2 linked regions of the Cricetulus griseus genome follow. The protein of the gene in region 1 purifies or fractionates together with the protein of each later gene. This does not show direct contact. Links are inferred from orthologs where the notes say so. Each region holds a gene or a part of one and is shown in the gene's direction. Other genes may lie near its edges.

Evidence for each region. The genes of interacting proteins can lie anywhere in the genome.
Region 2: the proteins of Rpl14 (region 1) and Ctcf purify together in Homo sapiens (affinity purification with mass spectrometry; 5 studies listed by BioGRID and IntAct, with this or other methods). This does not show direct contact. The link is inferred for Cricetulus griseus from reciprocal best matches to the Homo sapiens genes RPL14 and CTCF.

The regions. Positions count from the first base shown.
Region 1 is NC_048597.1:227,643,711-227,649,898, forward strand, and holds Rpl14 (60S ribosomal protein L14), read left to right. Parts: upstream 1-2,283; 5' UTR 2,284-2,418; coding exon 2,419-2,421; intron 2,422-3,123; coding exon 3,124-3,225; intron 3,226-3,725; coding exon 3,726-3,820; intron 3,821-4,860; coding exon 4,861-4,960; intron 4,961-5,050; coding exon 5,051-5,104; intron 5,105-5,443; coding exon 5,444-5,731; 3' UTR 5,732-5,770; downstream 5,771-6,188.
Region 2 is NC_048596.1:181,959,482-181,965,669, forward strand, and holds the end of Ctcf (transcriptional repressor CTCF), read left to right. Parts: coding exon 1-66; intron 67-2,045; coding exon 2,046-2,228; intron 2,229-3,423; coding exon 3,424-3,608; 3' UTR 3,609-4,931; downstream 4,932-6,188.

The DNA.
Region 1 (6,188 bases):
AGATGCTCTTCCTTTCATTGATTGGTTGTCTCTGAGTCTTGTGCTGCTGTGTCTGCTGCTTCCAGAGGGCTGCAGCTGGCATCTTGATTCCTGCCCCACTCTAGTGCAGTGGTTCTCAACCCGTAGGTTGAGACCTCTTTGGGTCTGGGTTGAATTTCGGATATCTTGCATACATTATGATTCATAAGGTCCTCAATAGCCCTAATGCTTCGGTCCTTTAATACAGTTCCTTGTGTTGTGGTGAACCCCAACCATAAAATTACTTTTTTTGTTTTGTTTTTCGAGACAGGGTTTCTCTGAGTAGCTTTGGAGTCTACTCTAGCACTGGCTCTGTAGACCAGGCTGGCCTTAAGCTCATAGAGATCCGCCTGCCTCTGCCTCCCGAGTGCTGGGATTAAAGGCGTGCGCCACCAACGCCAGCTTTACTTTTATTGCTACTTCATAACTGTAATTTTGCTACTGTTATGAATCATAATGTAAATATCTATGTTTTTCTGTGGTCTGAAGTGACCCTTGTGAGTCTTTCGACCCCAAAGGGGTCTCGACCCAAAGGTTGAGGAGTGCTGCACTATGGCAAAGACCAGACTTGTTTGGAAAAGGTTCCCTTGTCAATGAAACAGAGTTTGAAAGAAATCTGAAGCAGCCTGATGCTTCTTGATAAAGATGTGCTCTGGTCTTTCCAGGAGGAAAAAAACAAAATATTAAAACATCGGAGGGTGTGCAGGTGAGATGGTGGAGGACCTTGGGACTCTAGGTTATGCTGTCTCTCCTGTAGGTTGAGGGTAAAAGACAACACTGCCGGATGGCAGCTGGTGACATAATCTGGCTGCATCGTCATGGCAAAGTCCTGTAAACCAGAGGACTTCCCCAAAGTGTACTCACTAGACCACTGGATGTTAAACCATCTCAGTCCTCCCTCCCTGACCTGGGTTCAATTCTCTGGTTATGTTAGAGCCAGGGAACTCTCATCAAGAAAAAGGGGTTTTCTTTGTCTTTAATTTTTTTTTAAGTTAATACACACTTAGGGGAAAAAAGGGCACAGCTGCGACAGGGAGATCTTTGTCTGCAAAAAGTAAACACTCTTGTATCATACTGGCGGGATGAAGGGACAGCATGACCAGAACTCAGAAAGCTTGCTGCCCCTCCAGCAACTGTGGTGTGCGCCAAGGAAAAGGAAGATGGGTTCTAGTTTTTGTTGTTTTGCTTTGCCTGTTCCCACGTGTGCACCCGCACGTTCAGCTGTGCCTGCACCGCTGTAAAGCCAGTAGCTAACTTCAGGCATCGTCATTGCTTTCCAACTTTGTTTTTGAGACAAGGTCTACTGTGGGACCTGGAGGTCACCAAAGTAGGCCAGGTTCTTTGTTCAGTGAGCCCCTGGGACCCGACTGCCTCAGACTCCTGAGGGCTGGGATTGCAAGGCAGGCCACTACACCCATTGTACATTCATGTGGGTGTTAAGAGAGTTGAACTTCTGACCCGTCGCTAAGTGCTTTATCCACTGAGACACCTCTCAGAGCTACAATCTATACTTCTCTGACATTAAGGGGTTTGCTGGTTGTGAATTTTATGTAAAATAAAAAAATACAATATATATATATATATATATATATATATATATACTTTTTTTTGTATCTGTTTACTACACTCAGGGTTGTGTGAATTTCACCCAAACTATTCCAAAGTCTCAGAGACTTTGTTGTTGCAAGCCACCAAAAGTTATCCATTCTCTTGCTTCTGGGTCTCCATAGTGCCCAGTCTTGTGCTGGCAGAAAATAAAAAGGGTTGGGCATGGTGGGCCACGCCTTTAATCCCAGCACTTGGGAGGAGGCCAGCCTGGTCTACCTAGTTCTAGGACAGCCAGGGTTACATAGAGAGACCCTGTTTCAAAAACAAGAAATCCTAACCAAAACAACAAAAGAATGAGGAAGGACCGACGCGGCCACTGCACACAGGCCCGCACACGAGCATGAACGAATGCATGAAAGAATGGATGCATGAAAGAATGGGAGATTTCTTCCCAAACGATCCAGCCCAGGATCTGTGGGGGAAGCGTGACGTGCTAAGACCGGGGAACGGGGTCTCGCTGCGTGTTCCCGGCTGGCAGGGGACTCGGGTTTCCCGTCCCCGTCCGGTCGTGCCAGCGTCCGGGAGGCCGGGCTTGGACGAACACCTTGTCGCTACCCAAACCCCAGCAACAGCAGCGGAGAAACGAGGACGCCAACTTCTTCCAGCACGTGTCCGAGAAGACGCCGCCCGGAGGAGGCCCCGCCGCCATGACTTCAGCCACCGAGCACGCGCCAACGCACGCACGGCCGCGTTCGACCAATCGGCGGGCACGCTGGACGTCGGGGCGGAGCTTCCGCCGGCACATGCGCACGGCCGGGCGGGCCTTCTTCCTTCTCGCTGAGCGCCGCCGACATGGTGAGTGTGTCTTGCCCAGGGCTCCGAGAGCGCGGCGGTCGGGGCGCTCGCCCTCCGCCCCGGGCGGGCCAGCCCCGGCGTGGGGTGACTCTGCGCGACCCGGGCCGCGCGGGGGCAGGCGGCGGAGCGTGGAAAATCCAGCCCCGGGGGAGCGCGGCTCCCGGTTGCGTGGAGGCCCGGCCGGGCGAGCCTGGGCCACGCGTGCGCACTGGCGGGGAGCGCGGTGGCGGCGCTGCTGCTGGCGAGCAGGCGGGTGGGCGAGCTCGCGGGCCCCTCCAGTCGTCCTTTCCTACGCCGGGAGGGGGTCCGAGCCGATCGGGAGGGTTTGGAGGATGGGTAAGAGCAAACCCCGGGACCCGGCCACCCCGGGACAGCGGCCGCGGGACATTTTAAGCCAAGCAGAGCGCCGGTTTCCAACGGCACATCCGGCCCGTGAGCGGCTCTGAGCCCTTGTGTTACAGCCGGTAAGCAGCGGACTTGGAACAGTTAAAGCCAACCCCCTGAAGTCGGGCAGTGGTGGCGCACACCTTTAATCCCAGCACTCGGAGGCAGAGGCAGGCGGATCTCTGTGAGTTCGAGGCTAGCCCGGTCTACAGAGCGAGTTCCAGGACAGCCTCCTAAACCACAGAGAAACCCTGTCTCGGAAAATCAAGGAAAAAAAAAAAAAGAAAAGACCAACCCCCGTTTCCTTATCTGTTTCAGGTGTTCAGGCGCTTCGTGGAGGTTGGCCGGGTGGCCTACGTCTCCTTTGGGCCTCATGCTGGCAAGCTGGTCGCGATTGTAGATGTAATCGATCAGAACAGAGTACGTATAAGAGGAAGCGGCCCACAGCCTCTCATTTAACGTGGCTGTGAGTTTTGACGACACCGTAGATGGCCCTCGGGTGGGGTTCTGTAGGTTACAGCTTTCCCTTGGAGGGAACGCTAGACACGGAGTCTGAAGTGCAGAGGAGAGTTCGCTCTTCATAGATTCCCTCAGGAAGTACACTAGGCAGATGTTTCAGTTGGGGTCAAAAATGCAGGGGAGTTCAAAAAAGGTAACGATAAAAGGAATTCAGAGCAGCTGGAGGTAGATTTTGCTCAAGACCCTGAAGTTGGGTGTGGTGACGCCTGTCATCAGCTCTCTGGGACGAGGAGGTAGGAGAACTAGGAGTTTGCCCCCGACTTGGGCCATGGAGCTCACAGGACGCTGTTGGCTTTATTTGAATAGTCATGGATACCCAGTCTTGGAAAGGTCAAGAGATTTTATTGTTTTCGGGCATCTTGACCAGGTTCCCATCTGAGATCCCCGTTTTTGTATTCTAGGCTTTAGTCGATGGACCTTGCACTCGGGTGAGGAGACAGGCCATGCCTTTTAAGTGCATGCAGCTTACTGACTTCATCCTCAAGTTCCCACACAGGTAACTCACTCCCTGTTAGCTGCCTTCCAATTTGGTGCCACTGTCTGCTTTTCCCCTTTAGAATATTCTGCCAATACAGAGGGTTCAGAGCCAACCCAGAATGTCAGCAAACGGACCTTAATTAGTTAGGGTCGCCCAGTCATTTTACCGTCATGAAAGTTGTCCATATTTGGTCTCTTTCCCTTACCACTGTTTTTTCGAGACAGGGTTTCTCTGTATAGCTTTGTAGACCTGGCTGGCCTCTGACTCCTGAGTGCTGGAACTAAAAGGCACGACCACCACCCCCTAGCTCCTCTGTTTTGTTTTCAATGAGAAACTCGGCTCGTTCCCAGAGTGGCTTTGGTGCGTTGCTACCGTTGTTGCTAGAGCAGAATTGTGCTTGTGGCTTCATTGTGTTGGCAAGCACCATGGAGCAGTGGCCAGGATGGCCTGTGGTGGTTTGTTTCTAAGTTGTGTGCTTTTGGTGTTGAGATAGGTTCCTTCTTGTCTTGGCCTACCTTGGTGATGGAGTTAGTGTGTTTTAAGGAGTTACCATGCCTTCCTTTAAAGCGACTATGGTTGTGGTTACAAAGTATTCAACATAAAAAAGCCTGTTTCCAGCTTATGGAAGTAAAGCCACAGAACAAATGCAAATTAGAACGCCTGCCCTGCCTTGCAGTGTGGTTGTCAAGTCAGCAATGTTGGGTGTGCTGAGGCAGCCAGCATGTTTTGAGAGACAGTGTGGTTCAGGGGTGGCAGTAGTTACGGAGTGATTACAGGTGAGTATTGAGGGTTCATAGCAAGCAGTAAGGAAGTTTTGGGTGGGTAAGAAACTTGGCCAAGTTAATGAACAAAGTATACACTGGTGTAAGGAGTGGCTTTTATTAATTACAAAAGGACATGGTTTTATGCACATGCACTATGTAAGTAGTATGTGTGTTCAGACAGGTGATTTTTCCAGTCTTTGGAATTCCCTGGGGGGGGGCATTGTCTAGCCTATGTTTTATGAAGACAACTGAAGCTGATTCATTAATCCACGGTCTTGCTCTTCATGTACATAGTGCCCGCCAGAAATATGTACGGAAAGCTTGGGAGAAAGCAGATATCAATACGAAATGGTCGGCCACAAGATGGGCCAAGAAGATTGATGCCCGAGAAAGGGTAATGGCGTGAAGCCTTGAGCTCTGGAGGGTGGGGAGGGGGTGTGTGCTGACAAACAACAGGAGAGATCATTTTGTTTTCTTTTAACAGAAAGCCAAGATGACAGATTTTGATCGTTTCAAAGTAATGAAAGCAAAGAAAATGGTGAGTTTTCAGATGTACATGTGTTGTGTGAGTGTGAGGAGACAGTGGCCAGTCCCTGTTTCATGGTGCTTGTTAGGTTGGGGCCCGAGAGACAGCGCAGTGAGTGAAGGTACTCATCAGGGTTAGGATGCTGGCCCAGTGACCTGACTTGAGTCTTGGAGCAGCATGGTGGTAGAAGGAGAGAACTCGTCCCACTAATTGTCCTTCCATCATGCCCACACAATATTGTAGAGTAGTATCCTTACCTGAATTTAGTTCTGTGGGTGAAGCTTGTTCAACAGTGGACATAGAGCAAGTTTGGTGTAAGCCTGCCCTGAATGCTCTCCTGTCTTTCTCCAGAGGAACAGAATCATCAAGACTGAGGTCAAGAAACTTCAGAGAGCTGCTATCCTGAAAGCTTCGCCCAAAAAAGCTCCTGTTGCTAAGGCTGCCATTGCAGCGGCAGCGGCTGCAGCTGCAGCTGCTAAAGCTAAGGTTCCAGCCAAGAAGGGGACAGCACCAGGCAAGAAGGCTGCAGGCCAGAAGGCTGCAGGCCAGAAGGCTGCAGCTCCTGCTAAAGGTCAGAAGAGTCAGAAGACCCCGACCCAGAAAACCCCTGCTGCAAAGGCAGCTGGAAAGAAAGCATGAGGCTGTACAAAGTAATAAAGGCTCTTTGACATGTCGGCATCTCGTGTGTGGACTCAAAACTTGTCGCCGAGTGGGTGTTAGAAAAAGATAGATGGGATTATAACAGGATCATTTATTTAAACTCACTCTACCTGGGCCTTAACAGCACACAGCCATAGCCAAACTGAACTTGCCTACTGCACAGGTACCATGGCAGTTAGAACAATGTGGCTGTCCCTTGTACAAATAAATGTGTTTCCTACAAGCAGGTGGAATTTTGTCCTTTCAATAGTTGGAGATTCTTTAAAGGTAGAGCGGGGCTAGGTGCCTTCCTGTCCTGTGTGTCAGGGTAGATTTCTTCTCTTCTACTGCAAGACTGGTAATTTTGGACTGTAAAATAAGCTTGCATATTTCTAGGAAAAGTTGCTGATTGGAGGGAAGCTTTGTAAAAGCATGGCATGGAATTCAGTAAGAGATA
Region 2 (6,188 bases), on another chromosome or scaffold:
CTAAAAAGAGCAAACGAGGAAGAAAAAGAAAGATGCGTTCTAAAAAAGAAGACTCCTCTGACAGTGGTAAGTGGATCATTTGTTGACTCGGTTAGAGGTGACACATTTGGAGACCCAGTTCCCAGAAAATAAGTGTAGGATATAGAGGCAAGAAGATCACTCTTCTTTTATGCTTGTAGTCTTTGTAAAGCCAGGCATGGTGGTATGTTCCTCTGGAGTTGGAAGCAGGAAGATAGAACAGGGGTTCAATGCCAGCAAATTCAGGCTAGCCCTGGCATTAAGGATATCAGATAAACCCCAGAAGTTACAAGTGTTGACAGTAACTATGAGCTTGTTGCAGAGCTTTCTGCTGTCATAGACCCTATCCCATGCCTTTTCCTGCCACTGTTTTGTTCCTGTTCTGTCTCTGAAGAAATTATTGATGGCCCCAGTAGAGTTCTGCAGTTCTTCTTTTGTCTTGCATTACTCGTTTCTTTCAGGGCCTTAAGGTAGTGTTTCTTTTTCCTTCTTCCTAAATGTTGGAAAATGTCCTACTGCTAGCAAAGTTCTCTCAACCATCTGCAGAGATTGACCAGCAGTTTCTGTTACTTTTAAGAATTTTCCAGGCTGGGCGTTGGTGGCACACACCTTTAATCCCAGCACTTGGGAGGCAGAGGCAGGGGAATCTCTGTGAGTTCAAGTCCAGGCTGGTCTACAGAGTTCCTGGACAGCCAAGGCTACACAAATAACACCTCTTAACTAAAATAATCAAGGCCTAATAAAGAAGCCTAATAAAAGGAACTTTTTATGTTCTGATGAACAATATAAATACAGGCTGTATTTATATAAACTAGCCCAGGGTGGCCTCAAACTCTCAGGTCTCTTGCCTCAGAATCTTGAGTACGGACTTGTGTCTGTCTCATTCTTTATTCCTCAAACCACTGTTCAATGGTTTGAGGTCCTATAGATACTACTCAAGGAAATGGAGGGGAGCTGTCTGTCAAGTCAGTACACCGAATAAGAGATCTGAGACTTCACAGCCTTATCTGACTCCTTATCTGTATTCTCTTTAGTAATTCACTCTCTTTAATTTAATGCTTTCAAAGGCTGGGATTATTCTAGAAAAAAAGAGCCTTGTATTGCATCAACAGTTTTGTATTTCCTTCTCAAATAGGTGGGCATGTACTCACACATACTGTCCAGTCAGAGACGAGCATCTCCGTCTCCCCTGCTTCAACTTCAGCTCAGTCTCCTGCTTTATCCTGTATAATAAGAGGAATGTGTGTTTTATTTCCTCAAGCACCGTTTTGTAGTTTGTCACATAACTGATAAGAGATGAAAATGGTTCTATGGTTTTAAGCTTGGGGTTTTTTTGGGGGGCGGGTGTTTTTGTTTTACAATTTTTCACGACAGGGTTTCTCTTGTAACCCTGGCTCTCCCTGAACTCCTTATGTAGACCAAGCTGGCCTCTAACTCAAGAGATCTGTCTTCCTTTGCCTCTTGAGTGCCACCACACCTGACATAAACTCAGTATTCTTGGGCTGGAGAGATGGCTCAGCGGTTAAGAGCACTGACTGTTCTTCCAGAGGTCCTGAGTTCAATTCCCAGCAACCACATGGTGGCTCACAACCACCTTGAATGAGATCTAGTGCCCTCTGCTGGCATGCAGGCAGAAGACTGTATATGTAATAAATAAAATGTTTAAAACAAAACAAAACCTCAGTATTCTTACACTAAAGCTAAAAGGGAAAAGTAATGGGCACCCCATGTGAAATGTCAAAGTAAGGCATAGTTGAAATATATAATTTGAATACTTCTTCACAGGACCAGTTTACCTAATCAATGCTGATAGCAAAATTTTGGTAAAAGCCCTTTTTTGTTCGGTTTTGGTTTTGGGGGGTGGAGTGGACACAGGGTTTCTTTACGTAGCCATGGCTGGCCTTGAACTCAGAATCTGCCTGCCTCTACCTCCCAAGTGCTAGAAGTATAGACTGTTTTCAGAACATTTGTCTGCTGTCTCTTTCACCACTCTGCTTGACCCACCACCTGTGCCTTGATTTCTTGAGAAGAAAACGCTGAGCCAGATCTGGATGACAATGAGGAGGAGGAGGAGCCTGCTGTAGAAATTGAACCTGAGCCAGAGCCTCAGCCTCAGCCTCAGCCTCAGCCTGTGGCCCCAGCCCCACCACCTGCCAAGAAGAGGAGAGGACGACCTCCTGGAAGAACCAACCAGCCCAAACAGAACCAGCGTAAGTTGCCTGCCTTGGCTCAGTTGGCATCATCTCTCTCATTTGAGGAAGCCAGATTGGTCTGTGTTCTTGTGAAGATGGGAACTAAGCCATGAAAACAAGTGAAGGTCACATTGGCAACAGACTCTCAGGAAGCTTTTTTATTTTTTTTAAAGAAGTTTTCTCTAAAAGCCTGTTATATTCCTACAGAAAAAGTCCAGAGTAGGCTGGGTGATGGTGCACACCTTTAATCCTAGCACTTGGGAGGCAGAGGCAGGTGGATCTCTGAGTTCCAGGACAGCCAGGGCTACACAGAGAAACCCTGTCTCAGAAAAAAAAAAAAAAAAAAAAAAATTCCAAAGTAGAAGGATGCTGATGTCCTAGAGGCAGGTACACTGTTGATGTAGGAGGGTTTAGAAAACAACCAGTCACTGTGGCCTGTAAAGTTGATGTGGTTATGGATAGAAGGGAGCCAGATTTCAAGGGATGGGATAAAATGAGTGGACTGAGAGTGCCCATCTAGAGAGGATTCTGGTCCACAAAGCTGTGAGTGTCATTGTCACCCACAGTCTCAACACCTGGAGGACTGGGGCTGGCCTGGGCTACATGATGAGGAGGGGAAGGGAAAGAGAAAAGCAGAACTGAGGTGTCAGGGATGGCGTGGTGTGTCCCTTTCAGGCACAGGTAGAACAGAAGTTTACTCTCTATTCACTTCGTCTCTAATATGTTAAATATTCTTCCTGAGCCCGTGTTTACATGTCCATCACAAAGAAGGAAGTTAACTTTAGAGCTAGAACCAGGCTCTGCCTTTCACCTATATACACTGGATCAGGAGCACTATAGAGTCAGAAATATCATCGGCATCATACACTGATGTATTCCCAGTCATGTGTGCGGTTGGATTTTCTTCCCCTGCCTCATATTACTGTAAATCCTAAATTCACAACAAACATAAAGGAAAACTAAACATCTTAACAGTGCAGTTTGGAGGCCTATGAAGGTGGATGTCAGCATTTGGTGTGACAGTTTCTAGCCTATTGGTTTTTTTATGTGTGACCACTTTAACATTAGCTGAGGCTTGCTTGTGCTTTTTTCACTTTTGCTGTCTATGTTGATATATCCCCCCCTCCCCCACCTTGTCAGTATCTGAAAGGATCCCTGTACTCTCTGTGGACTTTAATGTACTATTTGTTTTGTTCCTGCTCTTCTTTGCCAGCAACAGCCATCATTCAGGTTGAAGACCAGAATACAGGTGCAATTGAGAACATTATAGTTGAAGTCAAAAAAGAGCCAGATGCTGAGCCTGTGGAAGGGGACGAAGAGGAGGCTCAAGCAGCCACCACAGATGCCCCCAATGGAGACCTCACGCCTGAGATGATCCTCAGCATGATGGACCGGTGATGACGGGGCCCTTGCTCGTCACCAGGACTATTGGGGCTGTGTTTAAACGGCCCACATCTTAATTTTTCTCTTTTCTTTTGGCTTTGGGAACGGCATAATTTTACACCATTTTACCAAACATACTGAGAACGAAAACTTCAAGGATGATGTTAGAAAAATGTGATTTACTAGAACTTGTTGTTTGATGTTAGCAAATCATGGAATGTTCCAAGTCTCTGAGGGTTTACTGTGAAGTGCTGAGGACAGTGTTGATGCCTAACTAGTTTTCTTAGATGGAAACAGAGACATTGAGCCCTCTCTCTTGATTTAGTAAACCACTCCAGAATGGCCACGGGTTTCCCAGAGTTCTATGGTCTTCCCAAGAAGAGTTTTTAATTGTAAATGCAGACTTGGGAAAGACTTAAGACTTTTAACCTGGTTTTTGCTTTTGCTTTTCCCTGACTCCCTTTGCTAGGAGTCAGCTGCACACCAGTAGGATGGCATGCTACGATCAGTTTCTGTCCTGAATGCTTTGCCTCTTTCTTGGCAAAGTTTCTGGTATGGTCAAGCTTGTAAATAACCTTTTTTACATTTTAATCTTTTCCATTAATTAAGAGGTTGAAAAGAAGCGCAGTGTAAGAAAACCCAGCATTTTAATTACTTGCAAATTAAGGTACCAGGGACTGGGTGGTGTGTAAATGTTGTATCTATCACAATCATGTGGCAGAAGGGCATCGGGCCTGCTGCCTGCTAGTGATGGACACCCATGTCGAAAGTTGTGATTTCCAGCTCATGGAGCCAGCATTTGAACCTTGAACAAATAACTCTCATTTATGATTTCCCATCAACATTTCCTTTGCTCTGTTTGTAGCTGAATGTTATATTTTTTAAATCTTTGTTAAAGCCAGAAGAGTTGATTATGAATGGGTCACAGCAGCCCTGGCAAGCTGGGCCAAAAAATTTCACTAGGTCAGTAATTTAAACTTTGGATCTGGAAAAAAAAAAAAAAGAAAGAAAAATGATTAATAATAATGTGAAGCAAACCAACTTAAAAAGTGATTCTTGCACATGAATTGTCACATGTTGATATGTGTTTTTTTAAAAGAGCCTCAGTCTGACTGATTTCAAACACTTTTTTTCTTCCGTGTATTGCTTTTAAGAGAGCCATCAGTTAGCTATCAGACTCTAGGTTGATGCATTTTTGTACTTAGCTGTACTGTGTGATATTTTTCATTATTTTAGGACGCCAACATGAGACCTGTAATAAAATATGTAATGGGGTTGAAAGCTGGGGAGGAGGATCTACTGCTGTACAGCTAATAAATCATAACGGATTAACAGGCACTCTGCAGACTCCATCTTTTGTGATTCCTGTTAGCTGGGGTCCCTCGGGGCCTATCTCAGCTTCCTCTAAGCAACAGCCTGTAGCTCGATGGTCCTGGCAGACCACAGCATGGAATGTATCCTGTTTCAAGTCGTAGTGCCAACAAGTGTGCAGGGATAGAGAAGTGCATGCTTAACATAGCCTCCTGTTTCCACGGTACACCTGAGATGCCTGCCCCTTACACAACAGGCATTGCCAGAGGATGCTGTGTCCTTGAGATCTGCTTTAGGAAGATTTACGGTCTGTCCTAGTTTTTAGCCAGACAGGGAGCAGAAAAGCTGAGCTCAACCTGTGAGAGACAAAGAGCATTGGAAAAGTAAGACAGGCTGAGGACAAACTCAGGTGATAATTCTTATTCCTTAGCTCCACGGGGGGGGGGGGGTCGTCAGATAATACATTGTAGTGGAAACCACATTGTGTGTGTGTGGGGGGGGTGTTTCACTAAAAATACTCCTTATTGGATTTCTCCTGTCTCTGTGTGTTATTTCACCAAAAGTCCAATACTGGTTTTCAGATGCTTTTCTGTGAGAAAAAGGCAAAGGGCAAGATTCACGCAGCTTGTAGCTGGCTTGTGTTACCTGTTCGAGCAATTTAATGAGGAAAACAACAATGGGCTTCTTGAGTCTGGAAGGTTCCAAACCAGGCAGGCATCTCACCTAAATGAGTACTAACAGCCTTGGACTGTTAGAACTAGAGTTATTTATAATTAGAAAATCCCTTTTACAGAACAGTCAGCCAGTATGCCCCCCCCCCTGTTTATGTATATTCAAATTTCCTGAAAATTCAAGAGTGCATCTGTCTTGGGCTAGCTTGGTGAAAGGGTCAAGCAGGAAGTGAAGTTCTGATGGAGCTAAAGAACGGTTTTGCACAGCTTGTGCTACACCTGACATGAGTCCATTAACCCCTCTACATCCAGCTGGCCATCACCCCTATTCTACTGTGAAAGCTTAGCAAATTGCTGAGCCTGCAGTAATCAGTAATCTATAGTCTGTAATACATTCTTTACATTTCTGGCCTGGCTTCAGCCCTGTCCACAGCTGTCCTGTTCTGTGAGCCCTCAGAACAGGTTCTTAGTCAGGTTCTTTTTCTAGTAAAACCACTTGCGGTGAATGAGCCCTCATCCAATGTTCCTCAGCATTAAGTTTTTTTGTCCTGCTGAGCTTCCACATCACCCGCAGAATCTGTCTTGAGTGTTCTTGGTCTCAGATTTGTTTGTC